2 linked regions of the Astyanax mexicanus genome follow. The protein of the gene in region 2 interacts with the protein of the main gene of each other region in a biochemical or structural test. Links are inferred from orthologs where the notes say so. Each region holds a gene or a part of one and is shown on either strand. Other genes may lie near its edges.

What was found.
Region 1: the proteins of akap1b (region 2) and C-Myc-binding protein form a complex in vitro, tested with the Homo sapiens proteins (2 studies listed by BioGRID). The link is inferred for Astyanax mexicanus from reciprocal best matches to the Homo sapiens genes AKAP1 and MYCBP.

The regions. Positions count from the first base shown.
Region 1 is NW_026040049.1:699,081-710,068, forward strand, and holds the start of C-Myc-binding protein, read left to right. Parts: upstream 1-5,897; 5' UTR 5,898-6,007; coding exon 6,008-6,022; intron 6,023-7,921; coding exon 7,922-7,994; intron 7,995-8,603; coding exon 8,604-8,652; intron 8,653-10,084; coding exon 10,085-10,214; intron 10,215-10,988. UniProt on the Homo sapiens protein: May control the transcriptional activity of MYC. Stimulates the activation of E box-dependent transcription by MYC.
Region 2 is NC_064425.1:18,459,885-18,471,149, forward strand, and holds the start of akap1b (A kinase (PRKA) anchor protein 1b), read right to left. Parts: upstream 4,148-11,265; 5' UTR 3,973-4,147; intron 1,148-3,972; exon of another isoform or gene 1,085-1,147; intron 1-1,084. Other genes in the region: nf1a (neurofibromin), read right to left, coding at 9,230-9,372.

The DNA.
Region 1 (10,988 bases), on a different chromosome or scaffold from region 2:
CTAGGGGGGAAAGTTTGATAAAGAACTTCAGGCTTGGAAAAGCGAAAGTTCTATGAGTATACCGATCATCACAGTTCTAACAACAAAAAAAATGCTTGAAATTTTTGATAGAAATGGATCCCTTCAGGGGACGTGTAATTTAGTTTAAAAGTGAAAAATTGACTTTTTTCCAAGGGTTGAAAAGACGTTGGTTTAAAGACTAAACGTCTAATTTAGGCTGACACTAAAAGGTGAAAAGACATTTTTCCAGTGGTTGAAAAGATGAATGTAGACACACATTATTTTTTGGTTAATTAACAGTAAAAACATATTTCATGTAGAAATGTCAATTGTTTATTTTATGTTTAATGATCTTTAAATTTTTATTTAATGCCACTTGTGTATGAAAACCTTTCACCCCCCCCCCCCCCCCCCCCCCCCCCAACAACCTACTGTTGCATAAGAAATTATTTGTAAGCTTATAGCTCTTAACTTTAAAATTTTAAGACATCCATGCTGTCCGTGCCACAACCCCGGACAACACACAAACCTTTCACAAATTGTAACCATGGAAAGTTTTTAAACTTAATGAAAAAAAATATTTATGATTAAAGAACCTTCTCGCTATCTAGTTAGCTAGGTTATCTAGTGTTAAACATGCAACAGTGAGGTTAAAATAGCTTTCACATGTCACCACATTTCAATATTTCAATAAGATCTAAAGAAGTTTCATAAACTTTTATCATACAATTTAAATCTAAACGATGAAACAAAAAAAAAATAACTATATACCATTTGCACTGATCATTCCTCACGGTCGGCCAAACAACTGGCTTTTTAACCTAACCAATCTATGCTAACTAGCTTAATGCTAGTTAACTCGGGCTCAGACTCCAACAAGGGTCCTATTTAACCTGGTTTGGTAGTAATAAAATGACACAAGTTACACAATAAAACTCAAAAATTGCAGAGTGGTGTTTTTTTTTAAACTTTACCTCATCTTAGCCTTATCAGCTAACCAAGCTAAGCTAACTAACCGGGCTAGTGTTAAGCTAGTTTAGTTACCTCAGGCTCTGGATCCACCACAAGTTCTGTTTAACTTAGTTTCATAATAAAAAATAAAATATATCTAGCTAAAGTTACACAGTAAAACCCAATCAATTGTCTTTTTTCCTCACAGTTACACAAAGTGTTGGTTTATTTTATTGGTTTATAACTATAATCTTGGTATCTTGGTATTAGACTTATCAGCTAACTAGGCTAAGCTAACTCGCTAACCGGGCTAGCGTTAAGCTAGTTCAGTTACCTCAGGCTCTAAATCCACCACAAGTTCTGTTTAACTTAGTTTCATAATAAAAAATAAAATATATCTAGCTAAAGTTACACAGTAAAACCCAATCAATTGTCTTTTTTTCTCACAGTTACACAAAGTGTTAGTTTATTTTATTGGTTTATAACTTTGTAATCTTGGTATCTTGGTATTAGACTTATCAGCTAACTAGGCTAAGCTAACTCGCTAACCGGGCTAGTGTTAAGCTAGTTCAGTTACCTCAGTTACCACAAGTTCTGTTTAACCCAGTTTTTTAATAAAAAATAAAATACAGCTAGCAAAAGTTGCACCATAAAACCAGGGAATGCGCTCTTTGCACAACTACTTCCCCATTCTCATCAGTGCTGCTCCAGCGTTTCCTGTTTGGCTTTTCCAATACACTCCTTATGGCAGTATTTTCAGCTGGTGTTTACAAGAGCTTCTAAAAATTAACCTCAACGTCCAGGAGACCAGTAAAGCCCACCACTAGTCTAATAATAATAATAATAATAATAATAATAATAATAATAATAATAATAATAATAATAATAATAATAATAATAATAACATTTATTAGACAAATACTAGCTATAATAATAAAAATGCTGGCTATAATAATGCCAACTATTATAATAATGATAGTAAAAATAATAATAATCACTATAAAAAGAATCATATACATGCTAGCAATAATAATATTAATAACAATAAAAATACTACCTACAATAATAATAATAATAATAATATTAATAACAAAAATAAAAATAGTCAAAATAATAATAATATCTAGCTACAATAATGATAATAATAATAATAATAATAATAATAACAATAATAATAATAACAATAATAATAAATATCTATAATAATAATAAATATCTATAATAATAATAATAATAAATATCTATAATAATAATAATAATAATAAATATCTATAATAATAATAATAATAATGATAATAATAATAATAATAATAATAATAATAATAATAATAATAATAATAATAATAATAAAAATATCTAGCTATAATAAAAATGCTAGGTGGTGGATCATTCAGGCAAGTACGTTTAGCTGATCTCCTCTCCAAATCACGTGGAGCCTGGGTGCTGTCACGTTAATTATTCCATTTAAAAAGCAGTGGCACTGCATGCTTTGCCAGTCGTCTCCAAGCTTCTGACGTTTTTGGTTTAACCAGGTAGTCTGGTATTAAATGTTTGCTACAGACCTTTCATACGGCGAAATGGTGAAGTGGTCCTGACTGATGTTCATCAGTCACTGTTTATTAGATCACTCTGAGCAGGGAAGCTATGAAAGCCTAAAGCTTCCATAAAACTTAGCAGACGCCGTGCAAAAAGGAACACAGCAGTGCTGAAAACGGCTTGAAAACCTCACGCTGGATACTCATTTTGACCTCTTGCTAGTACAAAATGTACGTTTTGCCTATACAGGCGAATGTAAACAATACAACCGGAAACGTCCGAGCCGCAACTTCTGCTACAACCTCAACTACAGGTCCAACAACCACAACCACACCTCCAACGACCTCAACCCCAGCTCCAACATCCTCAACTACAGGTCCAATAACCACAACTACAGCTCCAACAACCTCAACCCCAGCTCCAACAGCCTCAACTACACCTCCAATAACCACAACTTCAGCTCCAACAACCTCAACCCCAGCTCCAACAGCCTCAACTACACCTCCAATAACCACAACTACAGCTCCAACAACCTCAACCCCAGCTCCAACAGCCTCAACTACAGGTCCAATAACCACAACTACAGCTCCAACAACCTCAACCCCAGCTCCAACAGCCTCAACTACAGGTCCAATAACCACAACTACAGCTCCAACAACCTCAACCCCAGCTCCAACAGCCTCAACTACAGGTCCAACAACCACAACTACAGCTCCAACAACCTCAACCCCAGCTCCAACAGCCTCAACTACAGGTCCAATAACCACAACCACACCTCCAACAACCTCAACCTCAGCTCCAATAGCCTCAACTACAGGTCCAATAACCACAACTACAGCTCCAACAACCTCAACCCCAGCTCCAACAGCCTCAACTACAGGTCCAATAACCACAACTACAGCTCCAACAACCTCAACCCCAGCTCCAACAGCCTCAACTACACCTCCAATAACCACAACTTCAGCTCCAACAGCCTCAACTACACCTCCAATAACCACAACTTCAGCTCCAACAACCTTAACCCCAGCTCCAACAGCCTCAACTACAGGTCCAATAACCACAACTACAGCTCCAACAACCTCAACCCCAGCTCCAACAGCCTCAACTACAGGTCCAATAACCACAACTACAGCTCCAACAACCTCAACCCCAGCTCCAACAGCCTCAACTACAGGTCCAACAACCACAACCACACCTCCAACGACCTCAACCTCAGCTCCAACAGCCTCAACTACACCTCCAATAACCACAACCACACCTCCAACAACCTCAACCCCAGCTCCAACAGCCTCAAATACACCTCCAATAACCACAACCACACCTCCAACAACCTCAACCCCAGCTCCAACAGCCTCAAATACACCTCCAATAACCACAACTACAGCTCCAACAACCTCAACCCCAGCTCCAACAGCCTCAAATACACCTCCAATAACCACAACTACAGCTCCAACAACCTCAACCCCAGCTCCAACAGCCTCAAATACACCTCCAATAACCACAACTACAGCTCCAACAACCTCAACCCCAGCTCCAACAGCCTCAACTACACCTCCAATAACCCCAACTACAGCTCCAACGACCTCAACCCCAGCTCCAACAGCCTCAACTACACCTCCAATAACCACAAATACAGCTCCAACAACCTCAACCCCAGCTCCAACAGCCTCAACTACACCTCCAATAACCACAACTACAGCTCCAACAACCTCAACCCCAGGTCCAACAGCCTCAACTACACCTCCAATAACCACAAATACAGCTCCAACAACCTCAACCCCAGCTCCAACAGCCTCAACTACACCTCCAATAACCACAACTACAGCTCCAACGACCTCAACCCCAGCTCCAACAGCCTCAACTACACCTCCAATAACCACAACTACAGCTCCAATGACCTCAACCCCAGGTCCAACAGCCTCAGCTACACCTCCAATAACCACAACTACAGCTCCAACAACCTTAACCCCAGCTCCAACAGCCTCAACTACAGGTCCAATAACCACAACTACAGCTCCAACAACCTCAACCCCAGCTCCAACAGCCTCAACTACAGGTCCAATAACCACAACTACAGCTCCAACAACCTCAACCCCAGCTCCAACAGCCTCAACTACACCTCCAATAACCACAACTACAGCTCCAACAACCTCAACCCCAGGTCCAACAGCCTCAACTACACCTCCAATAACCACAAATACAGCTCCAACAACCTCAACCCCAGCTCCAACAGCCTCAACTACACCTCCAATAACCACAACTACAGCTCCAACGACCTCAACCCCAGCTCCAACAGCCTCAACTACACCTCCAATAACCACAACTACAGCTCCAATGACCTCAACCCCAGGTCCAACAGCCTCAGCTACACCTCCAATAACCACAACTACAGCTCCAACGACCTCAACCCCAGCTCCAACAGCCTCAACTACACCTCCAATAACCACAACTACAGCTCCAACGACCTCAACCCCAGCTCCAACAGCCTCAACTACACCTCCAATAACCACAACTACAGCTCCAACAACCTCAACCCCAGCTCCAACAGCCTCAAATACACCTCCAATAACCACAACTACAGCTCCAACTACATAAACTACAACTACAATCACAGCAACAACTACAGCTGTATCCACTACAACAACCATGCAAGAACAGATCCAGTTCTACCATGAGATTAATTCAAATCCTTAACTACAACTGATACAAGTGTAGACCGTGTTGGTGTGGTATTGAGTACAGTGTGGTTACTGTAGACCGTGTTGGTGTGGTTTTGAGTACAGCATGGTTACTGTAGACCGTGTTGGTGTGGTATTGAGTACAGTGTGGTTACTGTAGACCGTGTTGGTGTGGTATTGAGTACAGTGTGGTTACTGTAGACCAAACACCAACACCAGAAATGAAAACATTGACTGAAGTGACATTGCAGCAACGTTAGAGGAATGTTTAAATACGTTAAAACGATAACGCCGGCTGAACCTTCGACTATGCCTGCTTTACCTCCGAACACATCTGCTGCAACTTTAACTTTTTTTTTTTTCTTTACCTCAGTGTACTGGTTTAAAGTTACTGGTTTAGGAATAATTCATTGCATTTCACAATTATAATTTCATAATTTTTATTTATTTATTTATTTATTTATTTATGATTTATATTATATGAAATAATATTATATTATATTGTAATTAAATTATAATCTTTTTATGTACTATTTATTTATTTTGATTTATATTTCATAATTTCTATATTTTATGTGTTGTTTTATATATAGTTTTTTTATTTTTATATATTTTTTTATTTTGTTAAGCTATGTATTTATTATTTTATTGTATTCTTTTTTACATTAACATATATAATTTGTTGTGAGTGTATGTGGGCGGTTCTTGGTTGCCAGGGCGACGGTGTGTCGTGTTCCGGTGTTTGGCGCGGTGGGGTAGCGCGCATGCGCGGGCTTGGAAGGTAAGTTAGAAGGTTAGCAGCGGAGCTGAACTCCTGAACTCTGAGAGGAATTAAACCCGGAATGGCGCATTACAGGGTGAGTACCGGTCCAAACAGCACCGAACAGAACCGCACAGCGGTACACAGCCCGCCCGGACCCGAACAGCCGCGGAGTTTAGGGGAATTTATGGTATTTATGGTAGTTAATACCGGCGGAGAGATGCAGGAAGCTAAAGCTAATAATTTACCTCAGAACCGCCGCGGGTTCCGACCCAGCTCACAGCTCTTCCCTTCTCCAGAACACCCTCACAGCTCCCGAACCGCGGCCCACAGGTTCCGACCCAGCTAATATACCAGAACCGTCGCGGGTTCCGACCCAATGCAGCCCGTTTTACAGCTCCAGAACCCAGCTCAACTCTACCGACCACCTTAACCAGTTTAATTACTACTAATTACCTGTCCAGATACTAATTACCAGTGTAGATACTAATTTCCAGTTTAGATACTAATTTCCAGTGTAGATACTAATTACCAGTTTAGATTAGGGGTGGGCGACATGGCTCTAAAATAATATCACGATATTTCAGGGTATTTTTGCAATAACGATATACTTGGTGATATAGGAAAACAGAAATAATTTGTTAATTTTAGTAATATAGTATAATAGTATAACAGTATAATCATAATGTGGCAAAATAAATAATATAGCATAAAATAATATAATCCAGCAAATAATATAGCAGAATATTTAGTGCATGCATATAAACTGCAAACTAAAACAATTATACAATAAATACACCTAAAGCTTCACAGTAAATAATAGACTACTTTTAAGACAGAACAGCCCTGTTATCACGATATGGATTTTTATATCATGATATTTCTGTGTCACGATATATTTTATACGATGTAATATTGCCCACCCATAGTTTAGATAGTAAATTTCAGTTCAGATGCTAATTACCTTTGTATATAGTGATTACAAGTGTAAATACTAAATACCAGTGTAGTGTAGATACTAATTACTTTAAATACTAAGGACCCATTAGGGGTGGGCAATATTATGTCGTATACAATATACCCTAAATTTCCTTCGGGATAAATAAAGTATCTATCTATCTAGTGACAGAAATATCATGATATTAAAAATCCATATCGTGATAATAGGGCTGTTCTGTTTTAAAAGTAGTCTATTATTTACTGTGAAGCTTTAGGTGTATTTATTGTATAATTGTTTTAGTTTGCAGTTTATATGCATGCACTAAATATTCTGCAATATTATTTGCTGCATTATATTATTTTATGCTATATTATTTATTTTTATCAGATCTTTACCTGCCTGTATAACCAGACCCCTCCCCCCACTGCACACCTGTGTCTGAGCCAGCTCACCTGATCCCACGATAAGTGATGATTATCTGACCAGTCCTTCACCTGCGCCTTTATTTTTTTTTTCTAACTGCGTTTTGTGTGTAGAAGTGCTGAGTGAAATAAATATAAATAAAGAATTCTGGTCTGATGCTGTTATACACATTTATAACTTAAAGAGAGACTACACACACCGGTACAACTTTATAACTTTATCAATTTATTGAAAATATATTAAAATTAGCTTAAATCAATGCATTTCACATATACATATAGTTATACATAGTTTTTTTTCCCAGATTATCAAACAAACATGAAGATAATCTGAGTAAATATAGGAATCACTTTTAAAATGATAATTTCATTTATTATGGGAAAAAAACAGGCCTGATAACTGCCAGAACTGCACTATCAAGAGATCACTTCATGTCTGGGTATCTGTTCGTGACCTCAAGCTCAGGAGTACTTGGGTTCTGCAGCAGGACAATGAACCAAATCACACAAACAGCAAGTTCACTGTCTCTGAATGGATTAATAAACTAAATGAAGGTTCTGGAGGGTTAAAGTCTGATTGAGATTGAGTATTATTGTTAATTTATGTATTTATTATATGAATGATGTGTTTCAGGCTGCAGAGTCGAAGCGTGAGCAGTTCAGGAGGTACCTGGAGAAAGCTGGAGTTCTGGACAGTCTCACTAATGGTGTGTTCTGCTCTATACAGCTCTATCTGTTATAGTTATAGATGTATACAGCTCTGAAAAAAAATAAGATTCCACTTATGATGATGATCACAAACCATCAAACCACCAAACTGAACTGCTTGAATTTTTGCACCAGGAGTAAAGCAGCATAAAGTTATCCAAAAGCAGTGTGTAAGACTGGTGGAGGAGGAGAACATGATGCCAAGATGCATGAAAAAAACTGTGATTAAAAACCAGGATTATTCCACCAAATATTGATTATTTCTGAACTCTTAAAACTTTATGAATATGAACTTGTTTTCTTTGCATTATTTGAGGTCTGAAAGCTCTGCATCTTTTTTGTTATTTCAGTCATTTCTCATTTTCTGTAAATAAATGCTCTAAATGAGAATATTTTTATTTGTAATTTGGGAGAAATGTTGTCTGTAGTTTATAGAATAAAACAACAATGTTCATTTTACTCAAACATAAACCTATAAATAGCAAAATCAGAGAAACTGATTCAGAAACTGAAGAAGAGCTCTCTATTATAGAGAGCTTTGTATAATACTATATTCCGTATATTTTTGTAGAGTGTTCCGTCACTAATCATTTCCCCTTTTCTAACAGTGCTGGTGGCTCTGTACGAGGAGACGGATAAACCCAACAATGCTCTGGAGTATCCTTTATCCTCTGCTGGGTTACATGTAGAGCTTTATATCACAATTACATTGTTTTACTCAATACTATATAAATAAAGGGCACACCTTAACAAATTCACTTTTAAATGAAATTATCCAACATCTCTGCTGGATTTTCTCAGTCAGTTTTATGAGGTAGAGTCACCTGGAATTCAGGCTTTCAGTTAACAGCTGTGCTGAACTCATCAAGAGTTAATTACTTGAATTTCTTGTCTCTTAATAAAGTGTTTGAGAGCATCAGTTAAAGTAAAGTAGTTAAGAGGTAGAGTTACAGGTATACAGTGAATAGTGAATATTTGAGTAATGTTCTAATCCAGATTATGAGAAGCAACAACTACTCAACTAAATAAAGAATAAATTACGTTAAGAAGAAATGAAGGTCAGTCATTTAAAAAAAAAGAAGAATTTCAACAACTGATAATGATGAAACTGGCACTTATCAGGACTGTATATGAAAGGAAGAGCGAGAGTTTCCTCTGTTGTACAGGATAAGTTTATCAGAGTTTAATCTAAATACTTCACAGAGTATTTTGGTTTGTTTAACACTATTTTTAAGTTACTACATGATTCATTATGTGTTCCTTCATAATCTGATACATCACTTTACTATTCATTTACTGTGTAGGAAAGCTGTGTCCAAACTTTTGACTTGAGTAAAGTATCTGTACATTACTCTAGTTTCCAGTTATTAATATCAGAACTCTGGAATTAATGCACTCCTCAGAGATACGATAAATACAGATATCCAATTATTGTCCAGTTCTATTCAGATGGTTGTTAGATAAGGTAGTATGGAGTTAAATTAGTGCTAAATCTATGCAAATAAAGAAAACATATTCTGTAAATATTATACTACCTGCAATGATACACAACACATGTTATATTTCTTTAAGAGCAATGTATTAGAAAAACTGAACGCTGTGTATTTATTTAAAGGTTGCATATATATATATATTTATATGTTTACATATATATTTGTAAAACACACCCTGTGTGTTAGATAGTTGTGTTTTATATTTGTAAAGCGAGTTGTGTTTGTTTGCAAGTAGTATAATATTTAAAAATAAGTTTTCTTTATTTGCGTAGTTTTAGCACTAATTTAGCTTCATAAGGTCAATCAATCAATCTTTATTTTAACTCGGATGTACATTGAGGAAAACCCTCATTTTTAATGTAGCCGAGCATTTACAGAAACAGGGATGGCAGAGAAAATAAGAGCAAAATGTAATTATTTTAAAATAACGGTATATAGTGTGTAAAAATAGATACAAAAATAAAAATGTAATTAGAATAAAATACAAATAATAATTAAAAGGTAGTGTTGGCAGGGTGTGATGTCTGTAATTGTGAGCGGGCAGGTACCTGAGTTCCCGAGAGAAGCGTTGTGGTCCTGAGTCAGATCTCCCGCAGGTTTATACGGCTGCACCTGAGCACAGGTGAGCCGGACTCCGGCGACGTGGAGACGCTGTGTCTGGAGCTGACGGAGCTGCAGCAGAAATACGACGCTCTGCTGGAGGAGAACCGAGACCTGAAGAACCGGGTAAAGCTGATTATACACTAGATAACTTCAAACAGACTCCGAAAAAAGACGTTAAAAGACTAAGTTCTGATTCTCATTCACATCTAAAGACTAACGCTACGTTCACATTAGCAGGCTAAAGTGACTCAAATCTGATTTTTTCACGGTTGTGTGAACATGCCAATTATGATTTCTTTTTTTCTTTTTTTTCACAAATCAGAATTAAGTCACTTTAGCTACATTCACATTAACAGGCTAATGTGACTTAGATCTGATTTTCTGATTCATGGTTGTGTGAATGTCACTTTGACTACGTTCACATTACCAGGATTAAATTGACTCAAATCAGATTTTTTAATAATAATAATAGGCTCAGGTCTAATTTTTTTTCACGGTTGTGTGAACGTACCAAATCTGTTTTTTTTTTCTTCAAGTCATTTTGACTTTACCAAGATAAAGTGATTTTTTGATCAATGTGGATCAGATCTGATTTTTTTCCATGACTGTGTGAATGTTCCAAATCTGATTTTTTCAACTCAGATTTGAGTCCCTTCGGCTACGTTCACATTAGCAGGCTAAAGTGACTTTTTTCACAGTTGTGTCAATGCACCAAATCCAATTAGTTATAACTATTATTTCCAAATCAGATGAGAGTTATTTGGCTACATTCACATTACAAGGCTGCAAAAAAGAAAATTATCATGTAAAAAGTGATTTTTTTATATTTAATCAGGTTATATTTGTTCGATTAAAGTTCTGATTTTGTTTGATAATCAAAAAAATATCAAGTATGAC
Region 2 (11,265 bases):
GTTGTGTTTAAGTGGCTCTTTGTGGAAACGCATGTCCAAAGTGTACCTACGATGTATAGCAGTAGACAGATTCTATTTTATTAAATACAAGGAAACAAAACTCAGATATCCGGACAGTACTAAAATTACCCCTATAAAAAAAGAAAATTACCCCAGGATCCCCTGAGAAATTAATTCTGTCTTTTGTTACTGCTTCATTACTCCACGTGGAATGAATGACTGCAATATATTGAGTATTGCAGAATCATGGTATCATGAGATCATTAAATCTCTATAATATACTGTAAAATGCCCTGTAATTTTCATTCTCACTGCTGAAGTCTAATATATTTATTCTATATAAGCAGTAATCGAACGCAGCTAAATTTCCATTAATAATTAAAACTTCACGCTGACATCCAATCCTGATTATCCTTAATTGTTAATCTACACCGTTGACCTCCTGTATGTATGGACCTTCTTCTGTATGTATGTATGGATGGATGGATCTCCTCATGGCAGTCATACAGGAGAGTCCCCCTCTCAGTGTGAGAGCAGTCACATGTCTCAGGCTGCAGAGAGAGACTCCTGAGCGTGCGCAATTTGGACAACAGAAAATGCCAGTGCTTGTTTTGCCAAAGCCAAACCGTTCACCTTCGAGGAGGTTAAATAAACGGCGTGTGAAGTGTCTGCCGGCCGCAGGCTTGGCTGTTATCAGGGGCCTGGGCGCTTTACTGCACGCAGGGAGTCAGGAATCACGGAGCGCCGCTGTACGACCTTGGGGGGAGATAACGGCGGGGGTCACCGGACTTCACACTTCTCACACACGATACAAACACGCCGAGCGAGCACTGCGACTGGAAGAAGCGTCTTAAGCTGCTTATTAGCCAGTTAGCGTGTCCGCGTTTAGAATACAAAACAGCCGCACTGAGCCTCTGCTAGCTAATATACGCACCAAGCAGCACACAGCCCGCCGTGCTCTCCCTCACACTGCTGGAGAAAATGACACTTATCGTTTCGCTAATCTCTCAATAAACACGACCAACATCAACAGTAACCAGACAGAGAGACTGTAAAGAAATAGGTTAGCCTATCTACAACAAACCTATCTCCTGATAGAGCTGTGCAGGGTCGAAATTAAGACGGGCATCTGGCGCATATGGTTGTGTGGGTCTGTTACCTCGAGGTTGCGCTGCTACATGTGCGCTAGGTTAGCTAACTAGCACGAAGCCAAAGTTGACTTCTCATTCAAACTGTCCAGTCTACCTTAAATGCCTCCGACTGTTCACTGCCCTGCGCATGCGCTATTACAGCATTTCACGCACCCACTCACTCACTTAATCTGGATTTTTACCTGAAGGTACATTTACAATAGACAGGGATTGAAAGAAAAAGATAAAATAAAAATATATATTTCATTCTGTGAGTTTGTAAAGAAAAAATATCACATTGAGATTTATCTAATAAAACAAGATGAAAAGGTGACTTTAAAACAAAAGAAAAAAATTATTAAATTATCAACAAAAAAAAAAGCCTAAATGATAAAGGCCTTTCACAATAACTATTTTGTTATATGTTGTTAACCACTGTTGTAATAAACAATAATGCTGCCAAATTAATCAGTTATGTCACTAATGATCAAAAAGATTTAAAAAAATGCAGATTTAAAACAGGAGGGGAAAATATTTTAAACAAATAGGTTTAAAAAGCCTAAATTATAATAAAAGGCCCGTCACAATAACTATTTTCGTGCGACATGCTGTTATTCACTATTGTAATAAACAATAATGCTGCCAAACTGATAATGTTATGCCACTAATGTGAAAAAAAAGGAAATGTATCTTCAAAACAAGAGGGTGAAAATTATTAAAACAAGAAAGGTCCAAGAAAGGACAAAATTACAAAAAAAAACTTGTCACAATAACAATAATAATATTTTTGCCACTAATGTAATGTAGTACAACATAATGCAACAATATGCAATTACACCATAATTACAGTGCTGACCAGCTCATCTTCAGAAAACTAACTTAAATAAACCATAGATGATGCAGCTTAACTATTTATATCGATACCATAAATCGAGAACAAATATTGTGACAGGCCTACAAACAAAATCAACCAAGAAAAGTAAAATGAAGCTAAAACTGTGGACCAAAAGAATGCAAATATAACTAACGTTACCTACAACAAATAACTAACAAATAAACTAACGTTAAACTAAGAAGAAAATAAAAAGTGTTACAATGAGTTTTAAAAATATAACCTAGGAGTTAAGGTGGACCGAACAGCTCCTACAAGACGCTAGCTAACTAAGTTAACGCGAGCTAACGAACAAGAAGCAAACTTCAGTGTGGTTGCGTTAGCGGGCTAAGCTATTAGCCAACTGGCTACTGTTAAGCACGACTGACATTACAGTCACAAAAACTGCATGAAAATGGAAAACAAACGAGTACAGACTATCATAGTTATCTAGCTAGCTAACATGTTAGCAAGCTATGTCCGCCGTTCAGCTTTAGCTAATAAGTGGGGCAAGCTGCATGAGCGGGCTGCTAGCTAGCGCTAAGTACCTGGCTGGCTAACGTTAACTGCTTCATTTTGACCTACAGCGTGTTTATTACAGTAGCTAACGGAAGGCCGAAAAGCGCTGGATGAATTAATACCGTGCAGAAAGAGCCATTAGCTGCACAGAGAGAGAGGTCATCCAGAAGCAGCTAAAAGCCACAGCGCTGCGTGACTTTGAACGGCATGGCCAACTTACTTCACGAGCCTAATGATCGACAGCCATCAAGTGGATTCTCGCTTAAATCTGTCTGTAAATGACAGCTTTTAGCTAGGTTAGCTATACCTACAGCAGCACGCGTGCCCAATCACGAGCTTCGTTCCGCTGAACGTGTTTGAGTTTTAAGCGCTGCAGTAATAGTGTGTGTGTGCGTGTGAGAGAGGGTCGCTCCATGCGTTAAACGCATTTTAGCCATGTAACGTTAGTTAACTATTTAGCTAGGTCATATTTTCTGTGCAGCTTTATCCTTTTACTAGTTACATTTGTTATATTGTGAACTACTCGAGTTGAGGTCAACCTAAGTAACTATATAAGTTAGCGGTTGATGTATAAGCATATATATATATATATATATATATATATATATATATATATATATATATATATATATATATATATATATATATATATATATATAGGTTATGAAAGTTACTACTCATATTAGCTAGCTACCGTTCCTATTATTTAACGTCAATAAGCTCCAGCCCTGCACCACACACAGACACAATGTGAACTGGGCTAGCTTAGCTTAATAGCTAAATATTAATGTTGCGTAAATGAACGAGTCCTGACTGTTCATAGCTAGCTGGCTAACATAACTGAAGCTAGCTACGCTAAGGCTACTTTACACTGAAAAATTATAACCTGGTAATATTAACGTTATATTAAATTATAAAACTGTCAAACTAGCTTAAATAGCTAACTAGCTTGACTAGGATTATAACTTAGGATAACTAACCTATATATGATAGCTAACCTAGGTTAGCTAGCTAACAATGAATGCTAAAATTAGAAAGCCCTGTCATTAGTTAAACTAGCTCTAACACTCTGACTGGGCTGCAAAGTGAGACAGCTTTAAGCAGCCAAGTCGTGTGTTGGCTGGGGAGCCATAATTAGTTATCTAACAGTTCTGTTTTAGCTGCTGAGAGGCGCTGGAGCATAAGACAGATAGCGTTAGCTAACTAAATGTCACTAATCATACAGACAACATAAGAAAATAGTAACAGAAAAAAGAAAACATGATGATTGCTAGTGTTCGCTAACATCCCCGCCAGCTACATAAAGTAGAGGGCAACCCTGAGGCACTAGCCTAGCTATGTACAGAAGAGCAATGCGCTAGCGGGCTATGTTAAGCAGCTAGCTAGCTAGCTAGCGCCAGTGTCCCCCGGTTTGAGCCCGACTCTCCACCGTACAGAGCAGTGCACACTCACCGTGTCTGCACGTCCTTCTCGCCGCCACGGTGAACCGCACACCCGTATAAATAAAGCTCCGCTACTGTTCCTCTGTCCTCTGGGCCCAGCACACCCCGGCCGTGTCCCTGTGCTCAGTGTCTTTCTCTCTGTGTGTCTTTCTCGCTCTCCTCCCCACGTGTTGACCGACCGAAGCACACTAAAACACAGACGCACCAGCTGATCAAATCTCGCGACAACTGCGCTACTCCTTGGCTCTCGCGAGGCTCCCACAGAAGGTTTCCAAACTTCACAAAGCACAAAGGTGTGTTGGCTATTAGCTACAATAGAAGCAGAATGAAACATAGAACATCTAAAGGAATTAGTATTTAAAGGTCATTAATTAATAATAATAAAAAAGTAAGAAGTAGCTACATTCCTTACCTCACAAATGTGCTTGAGCAGAAGTAAAATAAATAAAGTAGAGATGTTAAGAAATTAGTCCTTACAGGCTGAATTACCTACTGTTTTCCGCTGCACTCTGTGGTCCTCTGGTAATTTTATTCCGGTCTGGACGCACATCTCTGATTTTTGTCTCCTTGCGTTTTATAAAATAGCTATTTGTCCACTGCCATGCACAGTAATTACACTTTGGGCACGCGCTTCCACGAAGATCTACGTAAACACAAGAACGAGTGGAAATGGAGGAGCTACTGAATGCGATGTCGTGATTGAGAAAGCCGAAGAACTCACTGTTTCTCCTGTTTGTTTGTTTTTAATTGCAGTCCAGATGAAAGAGTTTTATCACTGAGTAAAAGTGTAAAATATTTTACACAGACACCCCCCCTGAGAAACTAATCCCATCCGGATAGGGCTAAATACTGCATTCTGATATCTCCATGTTCACAGTATATCTTGCATCAGCGCCATTGGCTGCCTCACAGATCTTCAGGGATCTTAGGTTAACCAGCAAAAGCTGTCAGAAAAACATTCCGGAGACCCTAAGTGTGTTTGAAATGGTTTACGCACTATTCATTATGTAGCATTTACTATGATTAGGGAACGATCAAACAACAAAACCATCTTTACACAACATTTTGGGTGCTTTTTTAGCAAACTACATAGTGAATATAATGTATTGTTAAGATTTTAAAAAGCACTACAAAATTGCTGAGAAGTGTTTGAAGAAAACTGTCAGAAACTAAACATGTACTCAGACATGACTGAGTATGCAGCATTAATTATATTTCCGACACAGTTATAGAATTTTCTACATTTCTTGATTGTTCTGGTGTTATTAAAATGGGCAGATATTAAGATAAGAATAAAAATAAATATATACATAAAAATAAAATAAATAAATTCATAGAGACATCAGAAGTGAATACATTTGCACAATTATTAAACTTGTATTATCTTTGTGGTTCTTTACCCATTACATGACTATGTATACATTAATGTAGTTAGTAAATCATATTTTTAGTAATGGTTAAAAAATGGTAGGAATAATAAAAAAAAAATTATTAATTCTGATTAAATCCATTAAGTAAGTTCAAATGGCACTTCCCAGTATTTTTGGGGTAAAAAAATAAATAAATAAATAAATAATAATAATAATAGTGTATTGTGGTATGTAACTCCTTAATATTCCAGCTTTACCAACCTTCATACAGACAGATTTTATTTAATCTTAATTAAAATATAATCGACCTCTGATTGTAACCGTAGCATCACTGTGTTTACATCGCTAAATAAAGATGATAATAGTTCACCAGGCTGTGTTAAAAAGTGAATGAGAGGAAAGGTGGTGCCAAACTTAATCAAATTAATACGTTGCCAGTATAGCTGTTTTTTTTATTATTATATAATGTCAATAAAAAAACAGCCTCACACAAAAAAGTGTGTGGGGTAACATATAGTATAGTATAGACTTGACAGAAATAATACCACATTTAATGTTACTGTGACAGGGTGGTGGACAACTTTTATTATGAACACAGGTATATTTAAATTGCCATGTTATACATGTACAGCAACTAACTGCTTTACAAAAAAGCAATACAATGTCATATTTACAATCATATAACTTCCAATTTTACACAAAAATATTTACAAATGACAAATGTGCTGTTTACAGATGACTGGTGCAATTAAAATGTGGTAAATGCTTCAACCAAACACAGCTTCGCATTATATAATAAACATTTTTACTTCTTTTCAATGTACGCAGTGCTCCTTAACCACAAGGTGTGACACAAAATGAGCAAGACTTATCTTACATCATACTTCTCACACACTCTCTTACACACACACACACACACACACACACACACACACACACACATTTCCAAAGGCAGGAGGGCAAGCATGCTTCCAATGAACTGCAGAGAACAGCAGGCCATCCCCTACATCGTACCTCCATCTATAGCTGTACATATTAGGCTTCCATATATCCTGAGAACTTTACTTACACAATTTAATTTAGCTGTGTACCATCAAGCCAAAGCCTGGGATTAGTGAATGAATGTGGAACTAGGAGGGATTTAGAAAGCGCAAGATAGATAGATAGATTACAGTCTTGGTTAGTTGAAACTCATCTTTCACCCACATATCAATCCTTTGCATGAGGTGTAGTAGGTGTTATTAAAATGTGAATAAAAAAAATTGTACAATGTTTCATTGGACAGCCTCGGCATAGTCACCATCTTGAACTATCGGTACTACTACTCTTGCACTCTAAAATGGTACTTATGTACAGACAACAGGGTAACAAAATGGAAAACATAAAATACTGAAGCTACATGGATTACATAATAAAGGAAAACAAAATAAACAAAAAACAACAAAAAACACAATAGAAAAATGAGAAAGCAGGACGGATTTGGTCCCAATTAAGAAAGAAAAGCAGGAGGCACTGTTATAACTGTCAAAACTAGACTGACTAATCACAAGTGACACAAGAGAATAAACCCTTTACTAAGGCAATTAATGCTTAGGAGATGCAGTGGTTTGAGATATATAGGAATAGGTTTAGTGGTTGAAGGGCAGAAAACTAATATTACAACCAATTGTAATCAACAGATAAGTGACTTTGGTTTCCTTAAAAAAGAAGTCGGTAATGCTTCACGCATTAGAAGGCTGATCCCCTTCTTTTTTCTTTTGTAGTGCGATTTCCCTTTAAAAAAAATAAAAGAAAAGTAAAAAGAAAAAGACACTGTCAGTGAGAAAATAAAGAAAAAATATAGTATGATAGTGTATAGTCATGAGATTTCCACCTTATCTTCTGGAAAAAGAAAGAAAAAGTGGTGCGTGTACGAACAGAGAATATTGCACGTCATCAGCTAACCTCCTCAAGTCATGTGCGTTCGTTATTTTGAGTAAACTGTAGTGGTATTTTGCTTACAATGAATGAATGTGAGTGAAACGGCACACTAGTCTTAATGCACCCATAGAAATGGGTGGAGGGATGGGGGGCATGAACATGAAGCATGCAGTGTAAATAGTAGCTACAAGACAGAACCTTCTTTGCAACAACGGCCTGGAAAACAAACCCAAAACCATTTTGGAAGAAGAAGGTGTCATCATAATAGACATATATAACCTACAATGGTAAACATATGAGAAGATCTAGAAGAATTTGAGAAAAAGAAACAAGGTGTTTTCACAACATGTCCATTCTTTTCTTCTTGCGATTTATCCTTTGGTGCAATATCACTATGCCTCCCTCTTGATATCCTGGAACTTAGGGTGGGGGGGTGGGGGCCTGGTACAGATTAATACTGATGGATAATGGATCTGATGGATGCTGTGCTCCAGTAATGGTGCGCACACAGACCACCTCATCTCCCTTTCTGTCTTAACCTATGCCCACCCTTTGAAAACACAATAAACCTAAAAATAGACCAAACAACATACACAGCATATTTGTATTGAAACTAAACAGAAAAAATATAAATTACTGGTGGCACACCATAACTTCGAGACTAAGCTGAAGCTAAATATCTTCAAAAGCTCTCAAATAGTCACTCATGTTTTATCACTTTTATCATTGTCACAATGACTACAGGAATCATGTGACAGTCAGTTAGCTGTAGCACTCTTGTCAGTATATGACTGTTCTTAATTGTTAATATTATTTTTGAATGATAATTGGTTGTTATTATAGGAGAACAGCGAATAAGAGCTATTTATCTTCATTTAATTTGAGTTATCTACCTGGACAGAATAAATATCTACAGTAAATGCAGCAAGTAATGACACTTATATATTTGAAGAACATATGATCGTTTTTACTTCTTTACAGTGCAGCAAAGTATGGACATATGTATATGTGAAGAAGAACACTTCTCTATATAAGTAGTACCTGTTTTTCCCTTCCTCAGCTTATATTACAAACTATACACAGCTGATAATCCTGACAAAGGCACACAATGGACAAAACGGCAACCCAAAATGTGTGATCATCATAATCATCATCGTCGTCGTCTCTATCGTTTCCGTATATACACACACACCAAACACATATCTGCTTGGTATTAGAATGACATCCAATTGCCAGTCTAGACCTGGATCAAGCTTAACTGTGAATATCCTCAGATCACCAGGTTTGGCTAATTCTCAGGACAAAAGGATCCAAGCAAAATCCTGCCAAACACTTTGAGGTTGTCTTTCTCCACAGTCAGTTTTGGTCAGGTGTTGTAGTGGTTGTTTATATATATATATATATATATATATATATTTATATTTAAAATTCTTCCAGAAGCTTCCTTGAGGCCTACAGTCTCAAGTGTTCGGTCTCAAAAAACCGTAGAGAACATTTGAAGCTTGTTCCTCATACATACAGTTTGCACACAATCTTGTGCCGTTGCTGAAGATTAGGAGAAAACAGCAGACAGTGTCTTCATCCTCGCTTGAGTGTTCCCTCAGGCTCCCCTGACTTTCAAAGCAGAAGTTGAAAAGCCATCAGGGGAAAAAAGGATGCTAACTGCACAGAGATACTACGCAGTTTACAACGTTTTCTCTTCATGCACCAGTCAAAGCTTCTTAAGAGAGCCGATTCTGAACTGTAGTGCAGAGAGAGGTTCAGGCCCATCACACCTCGCCTCTTAGATCGCTGTTCCACACATGCAAACACACAGGTAGTAAACACTGTTCTTCCATTTCTGGCTTCCTTAACAAACAAAATGAAGCTCAAACGCAAGGAACCTTCTCAGACTGGTCGACGGAGCAACAGAAACGATTTATGCAGAAAGGTAATTAATGCAGCCTCCTGAATGCACAGCTTGGTCTCGGAGCGTGTTCAGACGATCTTCTTGATGCTGGTACGTTTGAAGCTGCCAGCGCTGCGCTGTTTCTGCACCTGGCTGGCTGAACCGTGACGCGCTCGGCTGCCGCTGCACAGGCTGGAGGTAGGGGAGAGCTCCACGTTCTCTTTATCAATACCTGCAGGAGAAGGAGAAGGAGGAGGAGACACAAAGTATACAGGTCAAACTCCACACATTCCTACCAAGCAAGAGGACATGAATGGACACTAAAATGTGTCCAATTTAAATTCTGTTTGTGGACACCTCTTCTAATGAGTCCATTCAGCTTCATAAAGTTGCCTCCTAAAGTTGCTGATAATACAGATGTGCAAAGAAGTACTGCTAATAGGACTCTCTGTAGGAATTAAATTAACCTACAGCCATCATGCCTACTGGCAGGTGTGGGCTAGGCAAGAGGGGTTTAAAGCCATCCAGCATTGAGCTGTGGAGCAGTGGAACTGTGTTTTCTGGAATGATGGTGCTCCATCCAGTATTTTAGGAATGAGTCTGGGAGTTGGAGAGAGAGGATCAGGTGGGGTAGTGATCTCTTAACATGATCATAATGACCTAAGCCTTCCCTGGAAATTAGAGACAGTTCCTCAAATTTCTTTTAAGAACATTGAACGGATAAAAAACAAATAAGAAAAAAGAAACAACAAATGAGAATGTATCCAGATACTTTTGTCCATTTAGTGTATAGTTAGCTATACAGATTTTATAGTTAGATATACAGACTATTAGATATTATGCAACAGTCTTTTACCTGGATGCTGACAGAGGTGCGAAGAGAGCCAAAGAAAAACAATCTCTCTAATTCACATTTCTACAGTTTAGTTAAATTGCGCTTGGCCTATCTAAAAACTTTGTACTCGTGTAAAAAGGGTGGACATTATTTATCATAACTGAATATCACTTTTATTACAATTAAATATGTGCCAAACATTAAAAATTTAAGGTCCATTCAGTGAAATTAAACATGGGTTGCTTGGCTCATATTGTGTGGTAGTATCAAATCTTAAAGCACCAATATGAGCTTTGGATGTTCTGAGTGAATGACGAAGCACTTTTCTAAGTTACTCTCAATAAGAGCACCTGCTAAAGGCCACAACATAAATCAATGTAGCACAATGGCACTGTCTACTAACGGGGGAAAAAAGTAATAATTCAAAATTATTATAAATATCAATGTAAATAGGTTGCTCCTAATAGGAGTGGGTTTAATGTATACTGATTTTCACAGTAATCATTTTTTGCAATATCATCCATCCCCTTTTCACGAAAAAAATCACGCAGAAATTTGCAATTAAATCTTGTCAGTCATAGAAACTGGTTTTAATACCCTTATCAGCCAGAAGGTGGCTCATGATACAACAGTTATGCAGTGAGGTAGACGCTAAAAATGCTCACAAAGTCTAACATCACTTATAACCCTTTACCAGGCTGAAGTGAATCAAATCTGTTTTTTGCCATAATGCATGCCTCTATATAGAACCCCAGGTTCTGATTTCTGTGGATGTGAACTGGAGGGACATAAATACACAAAACTGAAAGCCTAATTACAGTTTTAAACATATGTTAAATAACTGATAAAATCCTAATTTTAACAAATAAATAATTTGTAGTCAGTTAGCTGATAATTCACAAAATGTTGGCTACTGGGTACTACACATCAAGGAAGGCTTTCACAATAACACCTGGACCCTTCTCTGGTTAGGGAATAACCAGCAAGCTGAAAGGCCAGGAGTTACCAGTTAACAGATAGCATGTTGTGTCCTATACCAGTGACTGATCTTCTCATTTCTAATAGTCTTTGTGGAGTATCTGTGTACGCACTTGAGCAAAAAAAATTCTCCAACTCATTAATGAGGCTTGCAATGTACATTTAGGCTTAATTCTCATTTTAAATCCAGTGATGACTATGCCTACAGTACAAGTGATTCAACTTTGAATTTGGAATCAGTATTCAGAAATGGGCTGGGCTCTTATGGGTTAAAAAGCAACAACCCATTACTCTTAACAAAAAGAGTTAAGG